Oryzias latipes: one gene and its partners. The protein of the gene in region 1 interacts with the protein of each later gene in a biochemical or structural test. Links are inferred from orthologs where the notes say so. Each region holds a gene or a part of one and is shown on either strand. Other genes may lie near its edges. The genes, in order: fgfr1, nedd4 and anos1.

Region 1 (4,373 bases):
ATTGGTCCACCCACAGCAGTTACTTTAGCATTGACGACATCCTGATAATATTAGAAGTAATTACTTCCAAATTAACTATCTAGATATTGCACAATCATCAAAGCAGGAGAGATTGTAGAAAGACCTTGTATACGCACCATGTCAATAATCAATTGATCCATAAATGTATCTAAAATATTAATATAAATACAAAACGAGAAATGTTATTTACATTTATCTTTAGAAAATGTTATGACTCTTATATTAGAATATTGAATTTATCGTTTAAGCATTTTTTGCATTAGTTTTTTAAAACTAATAAAACTAGTTTTAAACTTTTTTTTTAAAGGTACTTTAACTTTTCATATAAATAACATTTTGCTTTTGAATAAAAGTTAGAAAAACAGTTTGACATTTAAGTGAAGAAGTGGGTTACTGCTTGAAGTAATTATAATATTTTGTGGTAGTTGGGTTTTTTGTGTATGTAATTGTATTATGAAATAATACAGAGCTAATAATCAATCATCATGCCGTTTCAATTTAAATGACAACAGTGTTGAGTAGATTTAGATATCAAACGTTTGTTAAATCGTCCTTTCTCCCTTGTCTGCATGACTAAACTAGATAATCATTTAGAGCAACCTAAAAAGATGGCTAATTTGGATTTTCTTTCCACATCTACAACCCAAAGTTATACATTTCCAATGGCTGTATGCATCCAATGTAGTGAACTTCTTTAAAATAAAAAAAACACTATGCAAAGTCATCATTGACTCATAATGCATGACCAATAAAAGAAATATGCTGGTTTAAAAATATTAATATGATATCTTTGCTTCTGGTTTTTACAAAATAGTTGTGAAATACAACTTGTCTGAAGGAGGGAAAGGAACACATGTTCCAAAGATCTGCCAAACCAAAAAGAGGTTAGACAAAACGAATAACAATGTGCGGGACACATTAAGCTTCCTTCATTATGCAGGAACAAAGGTTACAGTACTAACCCATAACATGGCTTGCACCATAATTAGTCTTCACCACCATCCATGCATAAAATTCCTCAGCAGCCAAATGCTGTAAATCACCCCCTTCCAATTGAGTCTGGGTTTGCAGCCAGCAACAGGCCAGTCCGCACATGGATGCAGTTCAGTGGCCGCGGGGCATCAGACCATTTCCCCAAGGCGACTGCAAAAAACATCTTTTTTTCTTTCACCTTTCTTTCTTCACAACCATAGACCTTGAAGCATTAGTTGGCCAACAGCATGTCATGATGTGGTATCGGATATCATGAGATTACACTAAAATGTAAAGACAATCAATTTCAAACCATTTGACACTTCGCCATTTGTTTGACACTTAAACCCTGAGTGTTTTTAGTACCACTCGCAGTGTTTGTTTGTTCCCCATAAAACAGGGATCACCAACTGTTGGGATTCTACCAAGCATCATCAACTGTGCAACTGTCAACCAGAGAAAAATACATCTATCACACGGAAAATAAGTGAAATTAAACCTTAAGAAACTTTAAGAAAATCCATTTTTGACACCACACTTCCAGAGACACAGTTTAAGTGACAATAACTAAGCCAAAGAAGCAGCCTGGTAAATTAAAGGGCAAAACTCTTCCTTCACTTCTCATTATATGCCTCAGGTAAAACCTTTCTCCCTTTGGTAAACTCCCTGCAGACATACTGCTTCTTCAAACCAGCATTCTTCTTCATTTTCTTTAATAACATAGCATTTACAGCTTTACAAAACATCAGTCCTGCCCATTAAGATTGAGCCTTGAGGACAGATGCATATTTGTCGACTCCAACTGACACTTTAAATAATAACGTTTTTAAAAAATATATGCATATAATAATTTTTAAAGTATTTTCTTCTGCTAGTCAGAAGCAAGGAAAGAAGAGGAACAGCTAGAGGATTAGATATTGACTTTCAAAACAATTTTGAATGCGTTTTAGGCAAAAGGGCAAACAAAAAGAAGGTTGATAAACCAATTTAAAATAAAATAAAAAGCCAATTTGTACAGTTAAAAAAATGTATGCTTTCAGCTCACATAATTTATCATGTTCTCATTTTCCTGATCTGATGATCTGATGTGACCGAACATGCACTTCGTGATGGCCTTAATTTAGGAAAAAGGACTGGATTTCCAGAATTTAATTTTTACCCCCTCCCCCCAAACCGCTTTAGGTTTATTTATTTTTATTTCAGAACGTGGATTTTTTTTTTTAGAAACCATAACTATCCCCTTACACAAACAGTAAACTAAAGTTAAATCAAAGAGCGAAAGAACAAAACAGAGAGAGCTCACCTTCCTGGCGGGGAGCAGTGAAACAGCCAGTGTTGGTCAGATGAGAGCGAGTCCTGCCTGAGCTGAGATTCGGTTCGAGAAAACGTCCCCCAAAGCTGTATATCCACACCGCTGACGAAGTCGAGTTATCTGCGTTCAGCTTACAGGTCAAATTATATTTCTGACAAACTCGTGCGAGAGAAGGAATTTCACCCCACTCATAATCTACAAATTCCAAACTACTAAGCCGCGAGGGAAATCAATATTAGCTAGCAGCTAAAAGTTAGTAGTTTTGCGTTAGTCTGCACTAAATATATGATCTTACATTTGTTTTCTGCGACCGCTTTAATTATCTTACCTAACAAATAAGAAAAACGAGAGCAGCCTCCGGGCTGGTGTTGATGATTCCTTTATCCCCAACACGTTTCGCACGCTAGGATGAAATCCGCGTTTCTGGAAACTGCGTCCTAAAGTTCTTTAACTTACTCAGTCTAACAAAACCCACCGGAAGCGACTTTGTTCGGTCTTGCGGCTTTTACAAAAAAGAAAGAAAAAATTATATCCGTTCATGGAAAGTATTTTTGAACATTACTAATGGCGAAATGCTGTTACGATAACGAGAGACCAAGTCAATCCGTGCCTCCCTCTATATAGAGTATTGCATTCTTCTCACCGCTGCAAAGTCAAAACCAGTGCACGCACCACTTCCGCTTCAAAATTTCAAAATAAAAGTCAGGATAAAAATGTTTGATGGTAATAAAATCAATAATCCATTAATTTTAAGGGGCCTTTCCAGGCTCCCAAGAACACTTTACAAATGAAAACAACACACAATTTAAACATATAATTAAACAGTAAGCAGAAGTTGGCTTTCATTCCACTGTACTTAAAAGTCCTTACCATTTTTAATGTTTGAAAACAATACCTCCACGTGCAGTGCATAAAGTATACCAGCTAAAGTCTTCTTCAGACTGAATTTCAACATTTTAAATTTACATTAGATAGTATATGAGTAAACATATAGATTAAGTACATGTAGTTCACTTAGACTTATTTTTTGCTAAGGGTTATTTACATCTGGTAGAAACCAATTTATTTGATATAAAGTTTAACTTGAAAAAAATCTAACGTTAGAAATTATTTAAAAAATATTATATAATCTTCAGGGGTGCTAGTATGAATGTACTAAAGATTATGCTCATTGCATTTAACACATCCAGCTGTTGAGTTGACAAAAGAACAAACATTGTGTTTTATTTTGTAATGAGAACTCCTGAATTTCCTTGGTTCTTTTTAGCATGACGTGGGACATGCAGCCTTTTGGAAACCTGGCACCCCTTCCATCCACAGCACCTCACCAAACTCCACAGAATGGAGATCTATGCAGGAAAACTGTCAGAAAAACAAAATAACTGCCTTCTTCTTAAAAAACAATAGGGAATTTTTAAGCAGAAAAACTGCTTCACATCAAATCTTGTTGACATTGCAATTACCGGTAATACAAATACAATTTAAATATAAATAGATTGTTTGAGTGGAGCATATGAGATAAACGTTAATTTATTTTACCTAAGGGAGACTTTTCATGACTCAACTATTATATTTTCCTTCTTTTTTGAATCAATAAGACCCTCTCGCAAAAGCAGAACAAATGCCACCATAATTGATTCTTGGATGTATGCATTATCAAATGAGAAAAACAACCATGTTCCCAAAGAAAGCAACCACTTTCATCAGCTTTCCATTCAAAGCATACATAAATGAGTTCAATTGTTTGGTGTACAGAATTGGAACAGTTACAAAGAGCAGTGGAAATTCAAATGTGCCTGCAAGGTCAGCACAAACGCAAAATTTGCTCTGCCTCATCAAACGCATAACTCATGTGATGAGCTCATATTTCCTTTGATTTCCTGTCACAGTTGACAAATGAGTGACAACTGAAGCTGCAGGGACACATGAAGCTCAGCCTCACAGTTAGATGAAAGAATGGATTGATTGACAGACTGATTTATGTCATGGCATGTGTCAGCCTTTCATCCTGCATGCAGTGATAAGGCTGGATTGTGTTACCAGCAGTCACAAACTTGAACTTGCTTTA
Region 2 (3,652 bases), on another chromosome or scaffold:
GTTTATTCTTAGCCAACATATACAAGCAAAGCAGACCAAGTGGGACAGTAAACATGGAAAAAATACAGTCAATTAATATTTTACTTATCCTCTAAGAAGATTAAAGCTGAAGTAAATGACCAATTGATGAAAAATAAGGGCCAACTTACATCATTGTTTTCAGTCTGGTCAGCTGCTTCCTCCCCTGAGTCGTTTGGCAGGTAGGTCATTCTGAGACGCAGATATCCTTTGACTCTTGATTTATGACTTTGGGGGGGAAAAAACAGTCAATTTTCAATAAATGATCTACACATTATAAGCAAATCCTTAACTGTGATCATGTTTCACTTGTATCACTTCTCTTAGTAAATGAAAATGTCAACATAAAAAAATGGATCTTAAAATGAGCAAAGTAAATCATATGATGAAATGCCAACCTTCGAGGGTGGAGCAGAAAATCCTTGAATGTGTATGGCCTTTCTGAACTAGGATTTTCTGTCTGTGAGAAAAAAAAAACAATCCACAAACACACATAAAAAAAAAACTTTGATTATAATGTGCACACGTTTAGATCACCAGGGCTGTGTCAGTGTACTTTAAAATAAAACATGGGAAGATGGTACCGGTGCACAAGGAAGCCTAATTTGAGGGAGTTGTATTTATAATAAAACAAAGGCACCAACATAAACATGGCTGACAGTGTTTTCAAAACTATGGACACCGATGGGGAACTGACATCTGAATCGCGGTGTGTGTATTTATGTTTGCATGAAGGCATGGGTGAGACAGAGGTTAAGAACTCATACAGGTAGGGTACGTTCTGGACTCCTGCCTACTTTAAGGCATCTTCTGCTGCATCCATGGGTAAAAACACCTAGTTGCAGGACAGTAAATACAGTTTTGACTTGCAGACACTGTAGTCCTTAATTATTCAGCTATTTCATTCCTGTCTAAATTTAGGCTGTAATTCAGGCCGTAAAGATGTATATAATCACGTTTTCCATTGTAGATGTGCTGTAAACTATGCCACACTCTTCCTCGGTCTGTCCGTACATACAAAGACATTTAGCCACTCACCGGTATCTGATTTAAAGGAATATCCACTTGTCCCAGGAAGTCATCACGTGTCTGTCAGAGAAACAGGAAGTTACACAAGTGTCAAAAATGTTTCAGTGAGACACACGCACTTTTCAAAGTTGCGCTGACTTTCTGTTGGTGCAATTTATTCCGCTGCATCATACTCTTAGCATTACAATTACCTTTCTATCCTTGATCTTTAGCCTTAATAAACCTTAAAATGTTCTCACTTCTCAAAATCACAAGATACACAGCATATGTAAGTTTTACAACATCAAAAATCTTGTTGTGTATCTCAGATTAGACACATTAAAATTGTGTCTGTTATTTGGTTTAAACCGAGCATTTTATGTCTTTTTTCTCTCTTCCCCCTTTAGTTCATTACCAACTGTACTTTCTATCTAATTTTACAAATACGCAAACAGAAAATGTGTCCCATGCTTAAAACGAGTGAAGCCTTTTATCTCGGTGTGCAACTCAGATGAGTGATTATCAGCAACAGATGAACAGCAGCTCTGTGTTACAGCGAGACAAATGGAAAATAAAAAGTAATGCAACATGGACACTGTTTTGCCGTCAAGCATTTGGAACATTTAGTGTGTGCCTTTTTTTTCTCTTGAAAGCTTCTCCTTAAAAGGTAAAAAAAACATTGCTTTGAAAAAACAACAGACATGCAGGTCAAACTGTCTAAACAGTCCAAAGGTGACAAATATGGATTGAGGCTGGTTTTATCAGTATATTTTTCCCTAAACAAAACATAATTAACGTGTATGGGGTCAACACTGAGCATTACCTATTTAGAATAAAGCCTTTTGTGTAAGTAAATAGAAGATAAAAAAAGAAAAAAACAAAAACAAAACGTTGATCTTAAAAGTCTCTTTAATCAAAAAATTAAACATTTCCTTCCTGGTATTGATGACTCTTTCAGGTGAGGGAATTGCTGATTCTCAGGAATCTGAAATGAGTAAAACTGTTCCTTTCCTTGCAGGCTGAGGTCAAAAAAGAGATCAAATTTGTCTGTCTTTGCAAAGGGGGGATTTGTTTTACAAGGTCAGAACTTTTTGTACAAGGTACCCGGTCTCAGGATTGGCTCCTTTACAATATGAGATAGCAAAACTGGGTAGCAAAGATATGCACAAAGAGGAGACAGAGCACGCTGCATCTTCATGGTGTGATTGGTGAATTTTTGTCAATCTCTTCAGAGAGACACACCAGCACATTGTGGTAATAAAATCTGTAGCTTCCAGAGTGTTAATGTTTGCATAGCACCAATTATTGATAATCAGCCGATGCAGGCTATTGAAAGATATACACTAAAAACATGGTAGTGCATTGCTGCAGCCTGGGACAGGGTAATCAGGGTAATCATGACCTGAAGCCTTTGTGCCTACTAAAGACCCACTCCAATGAAAAATGTGTTTTTGGTTTTTAACAAGTTCTTGTAGCATTTTTCTCATGATGGATGACATGAATAAAGAAAATTAAGCTTACAATTGAATTTCTGGTTATTTCTTTATTCAAATTGTGGTGAATAAGGAGCAGACGAAATAATGCCGTTTGAAAAATCCCTGTAGTAATGACACAGCTGCTACAGTCAACGAGCCGCAAACTCCCTGCCCAGCTCCACTGTGATGCATCCGGTTGTGGACGACTAGATCCAGGTACGAGTTTGTTTCCATCGTCTGAGATTGGATCTGGCTCAGAACTGTACAGCTGAATAGCTCCAATATTGTTCGCCATTTTTGTTGCACCGATAATGTGAGCTTAGAGTTGTGAGGGGCTGTAAACAGAAGGATGATGGGAAGCCAGGGAAGGCTTACTTTGCCCAGAACTCAGAGGCGAATTTCTGATGAACTTCTGCTGCTCTGCAGAAACTATGTCCTAAAAGACATAATCTTAATAAAAGACCCTGGGAACCCTTTTAAAGATAGATACAAAACTGACTGGAGCGGGACTTCAAGCTGCATTGAAAACTCTAAAAATAAACAGCACCATCTGAAGGTAGCAGGCTTCATGAAAATAAAAAATAACCCAAATGATGTCGAATATCGTTGATGTTACGGCTGTGGCCGTATTTGGTTTTGTTTTGTTCTGTTTATTCTGTGTTTTGTGTATTTGATTCGTATCAGAGTGGGACTTCTGTGTTTTTGTTGATCTTTGTGTGTGTATGTCTATGTCTGATTATTTTCAGGTGTGGCCTCCATTTGGACCCAAGCTGATGGAGGCAGCCTTTACAACCACCATTTGGACCTCCAGCATGTGAGAAGGGAGCCTTGCAGCAACATGTCTCCACTGCAGCTTGGCGCTCCTCTCCACCTGTTTTGTTGTGTGTTGCACTTAGTGTTGTTTTCTAGTATTTTGTAGTTTAGTGGTTTTGTGCCCACCATGTTTAGTCTTTTGGTTTGTAGTTATGTTAAGTGAAGCTGTAGGGGTGAACTGCCATTTTCTTTAGTACTCGTTTTCTCCTGTTTTTGTTAGTCTAGGGAGGTTAGTGTTTTGTCATTGATTTCCCTTTTCTTTTATTTACAGGTAACATTACATGTTTCAGTAAGTTAGGGTTTTGTTTATTTTGTCCTTGGTTCACCCTGAAGAATTT
Region 3 (3,652 bases), on another chromosome or scaffold:
CTCTGTTTAGGACCTTTGTGTTGCCTTGCACGTGACTATGAAAGACCATGAAGGATAAAAAATTCACAACTAATGAAATCCTTTCCCAGAATGCGGCTCTTTTTTCTTTATTGAGTTTTCTTCAGTGCAAAGATCCAGCAAAATTATAAACTCTTTGCACTGCAACAGGAGCGGTTCAGTCTATTTTCAGTGTTCCATCAAAATACCACACATAGCTGGCATAGAGCAGCGATCACATCTGCCCAGCCTCATGTAGAGCCTGAGAGTCATTACTTACCTGACTCATTATTCTGGTTAGTGGTGAAGTGGAGCGAGGATTTGGGGCTCTTCAGGCGCACCTGCCCCCAGTACGTGATGGCCTGCAGCTCCACGCTGTAGCTGCTGTTCTGCTGCAGTCCCTCCAGATCCAGCCAGTTCTGGGCCTGTCACAAAAGAAAACACTTGGGATGTTGGCATCTGTTTGTTACCACACTGTCACTTGAGACGCCCTTCAAAGGCGGCGCGCCTGCACCAACCACTGACCAGACAGCTCAGCCGCCACGGCCTGTGGGAAAGCCCAGGTTATTAAGAACACATGCAGCGCCGCAGAAGGGATCGCGGTGCAGAGATAGCCTTGAGGGTCTTTAGAGAGAGCTGTGTTATCAAAACCTCCCAGGGCTTCCTCACCGTGCTTCCAGCATTCCACCATCAGCGTGAACCTGATGAGCTCCTCTTCCCGGCTTCGAGTGTTTTGACATTCCTCCGTCAGCAGGCTGCTTTCAAAGCCCCGAGGTGCCAAAGTGGAAGCCAGCACTACATGTGTCAACCGGGTCCGGTGTCTGCCACCTTTATCTCTTTTGTGCCACATCTGCTCCACATTATAGAAACTAATTCAGAAAAAAAATCTCTCTAAAGGTGTGTGTGGAGCGTCTAGACAATCCGTCTCTTGGCCTGAATCTCTCCTGAAACTCTCTTTGGAGATAGTGTGCTCCCAGATGGAAAAAAAGGAAGATCTGATAGTTCTGGATGATGTTAAAGTGATTGTTTTGATGGAGCATTAAAATCCCACTAAGATCATCTCTTGAGCTTTTTTAAAAGCAGTTCCAGTGGTATTTTAGATATGATTATGTGGTTTTTAGCCAAAATAAAAAAGCTGTGTAGTTTTTGATGACATTGTTTCTGTAGAGTTTAATGTTCATTAAAAATTCCCCTTACTGTTTGTTGTGGGTGGGACTATTTGCTTAACTAACCTCACTCCCCTTCCTGTCATCCATAACTGAGAGATCTCTGTTTACACACTCTCCCACTAGCTTACAGCCCCTCGCATCCACAACCTAACATTACCTGTGCACCAAAAATGGCGAGCAACATCAGGGGGGGGGGGCTCCTCGCCCGGGGGATAATTCAGAGTACAACCAACACTGCTGGGAAGGCTTTCACAATGGATCAAAAGATGATCAGAGTATGATGTTAAAAACGCCCAAAACACACAGTTTAATGGGTCTTTACGATTTAATGTGAAAATTGCAATTAAATACGTGCAATGGTCAAACACGCCCCTCATCAGAATGAGGGATCAGATCTGTCTGGCTCTGGTTGATCTGCAACAGCTCAAACGCCGCCAAAGCATCTTCGCTGACATTCATTCAACGGCTGCGTTTCCTCCGCTCATTGCAGCTCCATTCCTTCCTCAGTCGGAGCCTTGTTTGGAAATGCAAGAACGCGTACATTTTGCGGTTGTCTCATAGTTTTGGGTCACCAAATTCTGGAGTGATCAAATGATTTGTCTACTCAGTTAAATACTGAAAGCTGCTCAGTTTGTGTCAAAATCACAAACGCTTTGGCTTTGCGTCAGTGAAGCAGACGTTTCTCATTTGTTCCTCTTTTCTAAACCAGTCGGGAGGAAAGTTTCAAAATGTGAACTGATGCTTTTTTTAATGTGCACATCTGCAGATTCCAGGGTTGTTGTTTTGTTTTTGTTTTTCAAATGTCTTCAAAATCTGTCCAATGGTGTCATTTTTAAACCAAACCCATACACGTCCACAGGACTGTAGTTTATTTTGTCCAAGTAAGGACTTGCAATCTTTGTGAGCTCTTTGCTGTAATCAAAACACAGGCTTTCGTCTCCAAAATCCCATGAAATGGTTTGTTTATTGCTGGAACAAATAGTTGCTAGTATTCCAGGAGGGAAAGCAGTTCCAGGGTCTTAATGACAGAAATCAGCAAAATCTCTTAAAAAATATTTATGCCTTCGCCCTGGATGTGTTCTCCTCCCCTCAGGTTGAATGCAGCATCCGTTAAAGTAAAAGAGAAGGGTTTGGAGTTGGAGCTACAGTGAAGGAAACTCACAGTTACTGTAAAAACTGAGAAGTCAAACAGTGAACCCATGCACGACTTTTGAAAGGTACTCAGTCAATCAGGAATAAAAGCTTCAGAACACCTCCTGAAAAGGAATCCAGATTGAGATATTTAGAAACACAGATGTTGCCGTTGTGATTTATCACTTCAGGCAGGGCTATTCATCATACTTAATGTTTTTCCCTTCAAACATCCACTGTGTTTAAAGGCTCTTTCATCACCATAAGAACTTAAAACAACAAAGAATACATTGCATCAATGTGTGTGACTGATAGCAAGCACACAAATGACTGGAAGTTCAATTCCTTGATTGTCCTTCTTTTTCTTTTTCCCCATTGCGTGCTCCAAAAGTATTCAAAAAGATGCAAAATGACAAAGGCGCGATGAAAAACACACAAACTGCCCGGTCCTGGTCCTCCAGATGTACCTCCATGATCGTATTTCAGCTGTTCTTCTCATTGACGGTATGTGAGAACTGGACCGAGTGAGCGTGAGGTCGCCCATAGATAACAGATTACTTCTGGCTCTAACCAAATCAAGTCAATTCAGTCTGCATTTTTTTTGTGATATTGAGGCCGTCATGTTGGAGCTCAATACCGTAAGTAAGGTGTGATTGGTCCAAATCTGTCTGAGTCGTCATTTCTATTCCAATCACTTTCGTCTATCAGGAGTGAGATTATTGGAAGTCCAACCCTCTACTACTTGAAAGGGGACTACACAAAATTTGTTGAACATTTCGGACAATCAACGTGAGACCACAGGCTTTGAGGGACCTGGCTCCAGACAACATGGCGCCTAACATCATTGGCCGGTAGCAGAAATTTTACAACTTACCCTAACCCTAACTCTAACCCAAAAGTGTTCAGCATTGTAAAAAAACAACTTAAAGCTTAAAGGGTCTATACCACGCAAAATCAACTTTTTTGAGCTTTTGAGTATATAATAATATTATTTCCTCACAAAAGGAAACCTCATTTTTAACCATTCACACGTTTCCTCTAAAAACCTGCGCTCTGAGTACCAGCCCCTCCCAACTCAACCAACGACGACGTTCTCACATTGTGATGTAGATAAGGGAGGAACCGCCCCTTCTAGGAAGAGGCTGCACTGCCAGCCCCGCCCCCAGGCTTATACACACACAAACACACACACTTTTTCCACACAGCCAGTGGTGATCGGCAAAAACCTTTCCCTTTTATGTGTATAATATGCGCGTCCATCTTTGCAAAAGTTCGGATGTTGTTTGTTTTTGTGGGTGAAACACAGACATGCTGCCGACTGGGTTGATGTCATAAATTGGGTGGCGCCCACACGG

Evidence for each region.
Region 2: the proteins of fgfr1 (region 1) and nedd4 form a complex in vitro, tested with the Homo sapiens proteins (2 studies listed by BioGRID and IntAct, with this or other methods). The link is inferred for Oryzias latipes from reciprocal best matches to the Homo sapiens genes FGFR1 and NEDD4.
Region 3: the proteins of fgfr1 (region 1) and anos1 form a complex in vitro, tested with the Homo sapiens proteins (3 studies listed by BioGRID and IntAct, with this or other methods). The link is inferred for Oryzias latipes from reciprocal best matches to the Homo sapiens genes FGFR1 and ANOS1.

Annotation. Positions count from the first base shown.
Region 1 is NC_019867.2:20,628,880-20,633,252, forward strand, and holds the start of fgfr1 (fibroblast growth factor receptor 1 precursor), read right to left. Parts: upstream 2,933-4,373; 5' UTR 2,634-2,932; exon of another isoform or gene 2,426-2,633; 5' UTR 2,297-2,425; intron 1-2,296. UniProt on the Homo sapiens protein: Tyrosine-protein kinase that acts as a cell-surface receptor for fibroblast growth factors and plays an essential role in the regulation of embryonic development, cell proliferation, differentiation and migration.
Region 2 is NC_019861.2:21,574,720-21,578,371, reverse strand, and holds part of nedd4 (E3 ubiquitin-protein ligase NEDD4), read right to left. Parts: intron 1,108-3,652; coding exon 1,057-1,107; intron 479-1,056; coding exon 417-478; intron 247-416; coding exon 150-246; intron 1-149. UniProt on the Homo sapiens protein: E3 ubiquitin-protein ligase which accepts ubiquitin from an E2 ubiquitin-conjugating enzyme in the form of a thioester and then directly transfers the ubiquitin to targeted substrates. Specifically ubiquitinates 'Lys-63' in target proteins.
Region 3 is NC_019879.2:24,201,758-24,205,409, reverse strand, and holds part of anos1 (anosmin-1), read right to left. Parts: intron 423-3,652; coding exon 278-422; intron 1-277. UniProt on the Homo sapiens protein: Has a dual branch-promoting and guidance activity, which may play an important role in the patterning of mitral and tufted cell collaterals to the olfactory cortex. Chemoattractant for fetal olfactory epithelial cells.